2 linked regions of the Danio rerio genome follow. The protein of the gene in region 2 purifies or fractionates together with the protein of the main gene of each other region. This does not show direct contact. Links are inferred from orthologs where the notes say so. Each region holds a gene or a part of one and is shown on either strand. Other genes may lie near its edges.

Region 1 (5,112 bases), on a different chromosome or scaffold from region 2:
CCACACACAGACGGCACTCACGCATTTGCTCTGGGTGGGGGAAACTAAATAATACATATATTTCATATCAAAGCCTCTTGCAATTAGCTAATTGAAACATTTCAAATTGCGATTTGATTAATCACAGAGCCCTACCATGTGGAGTGTGTCATTTCCAGAAATTCTTAAAATGTAAATAGGAAAAAGCAAGGCCACATAAGATGATGATGATGGAGAAACATTTTGAGTTGATCAACTGATGTACCAAACCACAAGGCTTTTAGCATAATCTATGTAGGAGTTTATGAGGCATATGCATCAATCCTTCATGCAGACGCCCATTCTGTTATCAGCTCTGCCCCATATTTTACAGTGTGAGTCTGTGATCATTCTTTTTTTTATCAGCTGGAAGCAGCGAGTGACACAGAGAGAGCTTTGAGATGGGCATTTTCCTGAAGCAGATACCCTGACCTACTTGACCTTTTCAACAGGTTGAGCTCATGCAAGGACAAATGGTGAGACAGGTGTACGAAGGTGCATGTAAAAAGAGGAGTGTTAATTACAACAGCAAATACATAATCGAAAAAGCTGTACAATCCAGGACCACACAACTACAGGAATAACCAGTTTTGGGATGAGTGGAATGAACCTCGTTCATTTGATGCTGTGACTTTAAGGGAGCATTCATTCAGCATGTTTTATCGATTGCTAAATATAAAAGGTTTTGTATTTGGATAAGTTTACCTTTTAATACCCTTCCCCCATTTTACTATTAGGCCCGAACCATATATTATAATGTCCGGTTCAGAAGCTGTAAAGCACCCTTCCCCCTACCATCAGCTTCTGCTACCTCCCCCCTGAAATAACCCTCATATGGCAAGCCAAACCAGCATTTACTCCTTTACTACAGTAGTTACAGATTTAAAATAGATCAAAATAAAGTTATTTTTTTCAAAACTGTTCACAGTTTTAGTTCAACTTTGATGAAATGTTTTGATCCACTTCAAATGTCGACTAATGTTATGGTTTTCACGTCATGTTTTTTCTATCAGTAAGTGATGCAAAAAGTAATTGCAAATTTTTTAATTTTAATCTTTACCTATATAAGACTAGTGTAATATACTAAGTATTTCACTACGTTTATTCTGATGTCAACTACTTTTTAATGGTAACCAGTACTTCTTTATTTGCTAGTTCAAACAGTTCAAACAGTTGACATGTATTGTTTGAACATCAGAACTGCCATAGATAAATTAGCTAAAACAAAAAAACAATCAATACAACTTCATAAGCCTTGACCGCATATTTAAAATTACATAAAATGGGGTTGTTAGTAATGTACTTACAGACTGTGTCCAAAATTGCACACTTCCACACTATATAGTACGCTAAAAACAGTATGTGAGCGGAGTAGTGTGTCTGAATTCATAGAATGCTAAAAACTTGCGAGAAGTATCCAGATGACCTACTACTTCCGGAAAGATTCTGAAGTGCGCATCCAATGATGCTACACTATCCCATTATGCTTCGTGAGAGAATTCATGAATGGAACAAAAGAGACACAACTGATGTGGGTAGGCCACATGATGATAACAAAATGGTGGATGTAGTACAATTGAGTTCAATTCATACTGCTTACATTCATGCTGCATAGAATGGGCTTTTCTAACGGTCGAGTAGTACGTTTAAATTCAAATGCAGTACCTACTGAGTGGTAGGCGATTTCGGATATCGTCTGTCTTTTATGATGCATGCAAAGTTTTAGACAACTTAAATATCAGTTTTATGGAGTTGCGTGCTAAAAGTTTTCTTTTAAACCTGTTTCTTCATCTGAACAACTGGAAAGTTAAATCACTAATTCACTTTATTTGTGTCGTATGTACAGGTAAGTTTTTTTTAAAATATAGAGAAACTGACTCAATTACATCATTCCCAATTCTTCACAGTGTGGATTGGGCTAAATATCTTACTTAATTAGCTGTGGTTCTCTGATTGGTGGAATTGTCTGCACAGCATCATGGGAATTATAGTGTTTCTGGACAAACTCTGAAATTTAACAATTGTTTTAGAATAACACAAATAATACAAGATATTTATAAGTTATTTAACAAGGCTTTAACAAAATCATATACAAATCGATTAATAACTTCTGAGCCTACAAAAGGTTTCTTTTTCTATTAGTTATTGATATAAAATCCATTTCTCCAGGGATAATATAGTTATTATTTTTAACCTATGCATTATTCCTCACAAGTATTCGCTCCTGTCAGAACGTAAAAATAATACTGTGACTGAGCAAAACACTATTTTATGTGCTATTTTGAATGTGAGACAAACACAACAGAAAGTTGAGCAGTTTAAGATATAAATGGCTTGCCACACACTCTCTTGGCTAAAGGTCCTGTCTGTCCTAATGTCATGACTTAAATATAAACGTAAGTTTGTGGCCATCCTCTCCAATGACTGGCCTGTTTAATTCATTTATGAGGAACTGACAGATATTCAGTACATCAGAGATGATGGCACAGATAAAATCCTTCCGCGAAGCCAGAAAAAGAAGCTTTAGTGTTGTAGAAAGCAGAGAACTACAGTGTGACTGTATCTGCGTTTTAGTAAATACCACATTCATGTTATAAGACGAGAAACAAAGATTTAGAGGGCAAACATTCGCATATATGGCGCTGTAGTATGAGCAGAAATGGGGGTGGAAAGAAGCATACCGGTAGCCGCCCGGAAGAAGTCCGCACCGGCTTAGGCTCGGGCCCGTGGGGGGTCGCATACAAACAGTTGGGTCTCTGCTCCACAGCTGTCGTGTTCCCGATCTGAGTGAAGTATCCAGCCGGTACCGAATTCATCGGTGGACTCGCCAGTCCCGTGGTGAAAAAGTCCGTCCTCATCGCGGTGAACATTTTCTTCTGCGGGCACGAGAGCCCAGATCCTGCGCCTCTTCCCGAAGCAGGAGAAATCCCTCTGGGTATCCGCATCATTTTGCGCACGGAATGCAAAACCCGCGAAAGTGACGCAAAAGAAACTCTTTTATTACGCAAATTGCGTTTGTAGTTCACTGCAGAACCAATCAAGCGTTAATGAATACGTGTATCTTAAAACAATGCTAATGCTACAAGCGATAGTTGTATAATAGTATATTGCAATATTAGTATAATAAATAATGTTAAGTTGCAGATAAATTACGTGTGAAAATAAGAAAATATAATCATCCGAGTTGCACAAAGTATCCCAGGGTCCTTTGTTGTTGTAGCACAGGAGAAGCTATTCTGTTTTGTTATAATGAAAATAACTTAAACATATACTACACGCACAATGCTTGATAAAACTACCTTTCAATGATAAGTAAAGCTTCAAAATGTTCCTCTCGCAGTTATCGAGTAAAGCCAGCGACCGTGAGAAACGTCCCTGTGTGTCTGTAATCCTTCTCCAGCAGAAAAGCTTTGCTTTGACATCAGCTCAACAGAGGAGTGCTATTTTAGCGCCAAATTACGTCCCGCGAAATTTGGATCTCCCGCGGTTGGAGGCGCGCAGCGATTGGCTGCTGGCACGCCGCTCTCATTCGTATTCTGAATATATTTACATGTAACAGTTGGCGCCCAGCGTTCTTCCTCTTAAAGAGACAGCGCCTTTTCAGTCTCTTTTGTGAACAGGGAAATTTTCCCCCAAACTACAACAAAACAACAGCGGCCTATTGGCCTATTCAGACCTATTGTAGTCATATTTAGATTTAGCACAAATATACGTTTGACATTTATACAAATATGACGTCATATCGCATAAAATATAGGTTTGTTCTTTGAAAAATCACCATAAAACCCTCAATATTAAAGCATTTGGCTTGATAAAATAAATGATGATTTTGAAGGATGGCTTTATAGCAGGCCCATTGTGTTTTCTAATGAATCAATGTCATGAATTAATCTTAAACGTCAATGTTTTTAAACAACTAAATGGAAAAATGGTTGACTTCGGCGTGGCCTGTCTGTTTGAAAAGAGATTTAAAGAGAAAACAAGAGCTTTAAAGGCCGTAAACAACTCCACAGAAAAGAACCTATACACTTGAAAGGATCTTATCATTTTACACAAAGAGTAACCCCTGCCATGCTTCAGATGATTGTTGAGTCTCTCCCACCAAACTATTTGCCCAATGATGACTTACAGTGTTTAGAAGAGGTGCAGTCCTTTTCTTTCAAGCTGTACTTTGGGGCAAAAATGAACATATAGTTTAACTAATGAGAAATGTTTGATTTGATTTATTTAATGAAATATAGGCCTGCTTAGGTATGGGATTAGTGCCTTTACAGTCTAGTTGTATTGGATATCAGATATCCCTTATGAAAAAAAAAATACTATCGTAATTTATAATTTTAATAAATGCAATCAATATAATATAGTTTCCATACTATAGTAAAGTACTTCAATGAATCTGTTGTGGCAATTATATTGTGCCTGTGGTAATACAGCAACTAACATTATAAACAAAAACAATACTGTAGTTTTTCTAACACTAATACCCTATATTGTACTGCAATGCACCACAGTTTACTGTAGTGAAACATAAAAGCTACTACAGTATTTATTGCTGTGCATGCGGTAGGATTTATTAACAAAATATTGTAAATGTATGGTTAAATGGTCTATAGAATTGACAAGCAGATGGTCTTAATAATATAACATAAGAATCTTACGTAAGTGAAGTCACCTTTCACCACTGACCTACTGTATTGTTTTAAATAGAGAAAACATTTTACAAGTAACTGTTATTCTAAATCTTGGACCATATTCTTGAAAGACAAACTCATCAATGAAAGGTGTGAAGCACCAAAAGTACATTTTGAAGCCTATAAAAATTAATTTTAATGACAAATAGGCAATTTTTGTTATTCAGGAAATATCTTACTTTTTTACAAGAGAAGCTAGAAAAATCATTATCATCATTATTATTATTATTACCATTATGCATATTTTTTTTTATCATTCAAGTTGCCAAATTTTGACTGAGAAAAGTTGAATGTGCCGGCCAGCTTTTAATTTGCTTGATACTTTGCCTTAATAGGCAGTCTTTAATTTAAATTTTTAACATATTACTTTTTCCTAATGGTATTTGATAAAAACAATACGTAT
Region 2 (5,329 bases):
AGCAGGGTCATGCGACTCCACATGCGTTAGGGAAAGTAATTGGGGAAAAAAACAGCCTGGAAAAATTAGAAACATTTATGTTTATGTTTATGAATGTAGATTTAGATTAATTTATAATTAATCACCCATCCCAACAGAATAATATGAATTGATTATGTTGACGCATCTAAATTTCATCACAGGGATATAACTAGGCATCAAAAGAGGGTTTTAATTTAAAAGGGTTAACATATTTAGGGTGTGTTCACATTTGTAGTTCAGATCTCTTGGTTGGGTTGTGTGGTCTGTCAAAATAGTAAATGCTACACTTAGTCCTAATTTGCTAACTGTTAAAACAAAAACTGTTAAAAAAAAAAAGTTTGGTCAGAAAAGAAATGGTGGAGCCCAGCTGAGCTTGGTTCCTCAAGGTTTTTTTCCTTCACTTTCGTCAATTGGTGAAGTTTGTTCATCTTCACTGGCTTGCTTGCTTGGATTGGGACTTGTGGAGCTGTGCATTGATGGATTTGCTCTTCAGTGTTTGGACTTTCAGTAGTAAAATTTAAACCACCCTGAACTGAACTTCAAATGTGAAATCCAGACTAACACGGTTTCAATTTACTAGAATTTCTATGTTAAGCTGCTTTGACACAATCTACAATGTAAAAGTGTTAGAGAAATAAACATTTAATACAAAAATTACATATTTTGTAAGAGAACATCCAAAACATTGCTGTGTGCTGGGCTAAACACACTTATAGTGGAAAGCCTATAAAACATGAAGGCTAAAGGAGTCAAAACTGTGACATTAAGAACTTTGATTGCAAGAAGACTCCTTTTCAAAACCTGTACTCAACCATAAGAAGCAGTATTTCTTCTAAAAATATATGTATGATAGTGCACTGTCTTTTTTGTGGTCACATATTGTGACATGTTTTAGTTTGCAAGGAAGTATATTGTGTTGCATCGCAATCATGCCAAAACCTATTTTTCCAGCAGTGATGGTCTGCTTGTTTGGTCCACAACCATGGCAGCGTTCACACTTATTCAAATGATCCAACAGAGCAACTGCACCAGAGATAATTCTAATCAAACCAAACCCACCAAGTGTCAATGAACACACCCTTACATCTTTAGCACAAGCCTAAACAATACAAGTTTACACGAATGTTTATATATTAACATCTCAATGCAGTGTTTAGCCAAGATGTTTTACTTGATGATATTATTTACATGTGGATTAAAACATCACAAGTGTATTGAGATGAGACCCAAACACTTTCAAGCACTGTGTGAATTCAAAGTTAGTTCGATTCGGTGTTTGCTAAAGAAGTCGCAATTTTTAAAATGCTGTCTAGGTAGGACGCTCACAAGGTTTGGAAACACTGTCATGGTTGATGAAAACGAGGCCCGCCAGCTCTCATGCAGCTTTTATTACCAGACAAAGACCTCGACGAATCGTATCATCTCTTTAACATCAAATCTCGAACTCCTACACCCAAACCCCTCGTGCAATATCCTGAAAAACATCCATATGCAACAGTTCCTGTCGTTTTGAGTAACTTTTCTTGCAAAAGGAAAGGGCCCTTAAATACAAAAATATCAAGTGTCTCAAGTAATAAAAAAGCGTGTAAACGCATCAAGCAGAACGATAATCTGCTTCATTCGTTTACTTTTTCCGCTCCAAACATAATGCACAATCGAAGCAGTGTGCACTATTATAAAGCGTGTTAGCCCAGTTAGCTAGCAGCCTTTCAAACACGTTTTGCAACGAACCCTGGTCCTAATTGTGATCAAAACGTGCTTCTCGTGTTTAAATGCGAGCAGATCGGGTATTGTGCATGTGCTCGTACCGTTTTGCAAACGAATCGGACTTAAATGGCCATCTGGAAATGAAGTCTGTAAACTTTCCTCTGAACTTACAGTCCTGAAGCCCTTTGCCTTCTTAGGTGCTGTTTTTGTTGGCATAGCCAGTTAGCAAGAGGACAGAGGAAGAGGAGGTCTGAAGCCCATCTCTCAAACAGGAAACAAAAATAAATCAAATAATATGAAAAATAAAAACCCATGTGCGGTGAATGAGCGTGCTTTTGAAACGAGCTTGCACTTGGGAGATGTTTGATTGTTAGATCATGGCACATTCATAAACCTCAAAATGGATGCGGATGTTTTAAGCATGCACATACAAGACGCATGCAAACTGTAAATCCCTATAAATAATTCCAAATAAAAGAACTAAAATTATCAATATATATTATATAGAGTTTAATAAAGAATAATCTTAAGCAAATATATGTATATAAACGGCCACATTATTAAGCAACACAGTTGACAGTCACAACACCTATTCAGCTGGAGGGTCACAGAATTCGTTGGCTTCAACAGCAACACAAGTTAAACAACCGATTATACTCTAAAAACGGAAAATAGCCGTTCATAATGGGACATAATTATTTGCAAACATTCATGAACTAATTGAACAAACAGGATGGTTTTGGTTTAATGCCTGGCAGCCATTTTACATGGTTGCTAAAGCAAAGCCAACATGCAGTGATGCTAGCTGAGGTGACAGGTCCTTCTGTCGTCAAAAACTACTTATTAATTGAACAAAATCCTCGTGCTTATGCGATAGTAACAATAACAACTGTTTCTTTAGTTTCAAAAGTCTTTAAAACACGCTTTAAAGCGAATTAAAATAAAACTGTTAAGCTAGCGACCAGGCGAGCTAGTAACGTCAAGCTAACTTCCACTCAAATCGAGGTCATCTCGACAGCTTTATCATAATCAATCTACGATCCCCTTACTATTGTTTATTACACGTCCAGTTTTGCCTGCCAATGCTTTTTTGTACGATCGGTAAAGATCAGGGACGATTTTCTATTGCACTACACTGACAGAAACACTTGACATGGCTTAGCATGTTGGCTAACACAAGCCATCTGAGACAGACAGTTTTAATATTTCACCTATATGATAATGAATCAGGACTGATGGTTAACAGACTAACGGCCTCAGATAGCAGATGTACAACTGCATACAGTCGCACGCTGTTGTTTTAGAACGAGTTTGCTGTCAAACGCACTTATTTTGTGTTAAATTATTACAAGCGCAGATAAAAGACAGCTTCTTTATGCACTGGTGATATATAAAAACGGAAAACATCGCTCAAAGCTGTCTGTGTGGACTCGGAGCCCCCCCTGGTCTCACTTACGGTCGGTTGCATCCGCCTTCAACTGTCTAGCGTAGAATGAATAGGAGCGCACAGTAGAACCTGCTCCCTCTCTAGGTCTGTAAAACTGAGCTTGGCGGTGTCGACGCCACGGGAAACCCGATTGGACGATGATGCTCGTGACGTCGAAAAAACGTATTACAAAAGACACGCCCGCGCTAAATTCTGATTAGACGGAGCGCTACAAAAGCTGTGTTGACATGTTCTCATTGGTTGATTATACTGGATTCCACCCACTGCGTCTGAGGGTGGAGCGTGCGTAGGTATATATGTAAATAAAGAGAATAAAAAATGGTTCATGTGTATTAAATGTCTAATATATGTTTATTAATACCACCCAATACAATAAGAACATCTGTTACCAGTGTATAAATGTCTAATTACCGCTTTCATATCACTTTCTCGGGTTATATTTTCAATTAGACCGCTTCCCCTTTGCACGGTAGTCATCCTGTTTATTTATTTAGATCTCAGTACTGTAAAAGTACTAAACATTTGAACCTAAGCTTAGATACAGACACCATATCAATTTATTACAGGTTTGTGGTGCAAAATAGTGCACTGGTATCCATTTAACTGTATTTAGGAAATGAAAAGGAAAAGGTAAACTCTTTCTTAGCTCTTTAAGTGTATTTGTTGGCTTGTTAGCCAAGTTACGATTAATAAATTGTGTTTTCATTTTAAATAATTGAGAAAAGATGTATAAAAAACAACATAAAATACGTTTAGAGGCGTTTAGTATTATGCACAAGTCAATATTTATGAAGTACAAATCATAATGTACAAATCAGCAAAATAATAAATTAGACTATTTTATTTGCTCATTATATAAAATATAAAATTGAAACTTTAAGTCATTAGGTCACATTTTGGTTTTAGGACTGTAACATGTTTATCAGTATTCATGCTGCCCCCACAGACAGGACTGTATACAGTATGTTTTATACAGATAACTAATGGAGAAGTGTTCAAAAAGGGTGTCACCATTTAGTGTCACTATCATTTTCAGGTCTCTGGGTGGGTATATTTGAAGAAGTTATTTGAATTAAATACTGTACATCAAGGGTGCCCAAACCCGGTCCTTGAGGGACGGTTTCCTCCATTTTTTAGGTGTAACCCCAATTAAACACACCTGAACTAGCTAATCAAGCTCTTTCTAGGTATACTAGAAACTTCCAGGCAGGTGGGTTAAGGAAAGTTGGAGCTAAACTATGCAGGACACCGGCCCTCCAGGACCAAGTTTGAGCACCCCTGCTGTACATTTATAAATGTCGAATTCTTACCTAAACAGAGTACATAAACACAGTTAGGTAGCAGTGGTGTAAAGTAACTAATTACAAATACTCAAATTACTGAAAATTGAGTAATTTTTCTCAGAAATTGTAATTTACCAAGAAGTTTTATAAATGTGTACTTTTACTGTCCCTTGAGTACATTTTTAGTGCAGTATCGGTACTTTTACTTCTTTGCTTCAACCTGCAGTCACTACTTTATTTCTTTCTTGTCCATGGGAATTGGCTAAAGTAGAAAAAAATAGTTCTGTGATTCTTGTCCAATTAAATCACACATAGAAAGTAAATCGCATAATAATGAACAACATCAACACGTGGGCGTTTTCTAAATGCAGCAAACCCTTTGGAAGCATTAAAAATGTCCCAGAAGATGTTCAAAATATTTACCCACATTGACGCACAGACTTTTAATACACTGGGCATCACTGATGAGAAAATAAATGTCAACTTTAATAAAAAAGAATGTCGTCTGTATGATGACTGAAATCACCAAACAGCTTTAAACAATCGCTAAATGGAACGAATAAAAAATGGAAGGACGAACTGAACAAAGGAAGGACTGAACTAATGAAGGAAGAAAAGACTAAAAAAATGAAGGAAGAATTCAAGGAAGGACTGAACAAACTAAGGAAGGAAAAGAAGGAAAGAGGGAAGGAAAGAACAAACAAATGAATGAACAAAGGACCTAAAGAAAGAATCAGGAAAAATTATGAACAAAAGAATTAATGAATGAGCGAACAAATGAAGGGAGGAATGAAGGAAGGTGGAAATGAACAAATGAATAAAGGAAGAACAGAACAAAGGACCTAATGAAGAAAGTAACAAAAATATAAAC

The links. The genes of interacting proteins can lie anywhere in the genome.
Region 1: the proteins of tfdp1a (region 2) and e2f2 purify together in Homo sapiens (affinity purification with mass spectrometry; 3 studies listed by BioGRID and IntAct, with this or other methods). This does not show direct contact. The link is inferred for Danio rerio from reciprocal best matches to the Homo sapiens genes TFDP1 and E2F2.

Annotation. Positions count from the first base shown.
Region 1 is NC_133192.1:28,749,153-28,754,264, forward strand, and holds the start of e2f2 (transcription factor E2F2), read right to left. Parts: upstream 3,439-5,112; 5' UTR 2,967-3,438; coding exon 2,700-2,966; intron 1-2,699. UniProt on the Homo sapiens protein: Transcription activator that binds DNA cooperatively with DP proteins through the E2 recognition site, 5'-TTTC[CG]CGC-3' found in the promoter region of a number of genes whose products are involved in cell cycle regulation or in DNA replication.
Region 2 is NC_133184.1:36,641,131-36,646,459, reverse strand, and holds the start of tfdp1a (transcription factor Dp-1a), read right to left. Parts: upstream 3,273-5,329; 5' UTR 3,185-3,272; exon of another isoform or gene 1,830-3,184; intron 1-1,829. UniProt on the Homo sapiens protein: Can stimulate E2F-dependent transcription.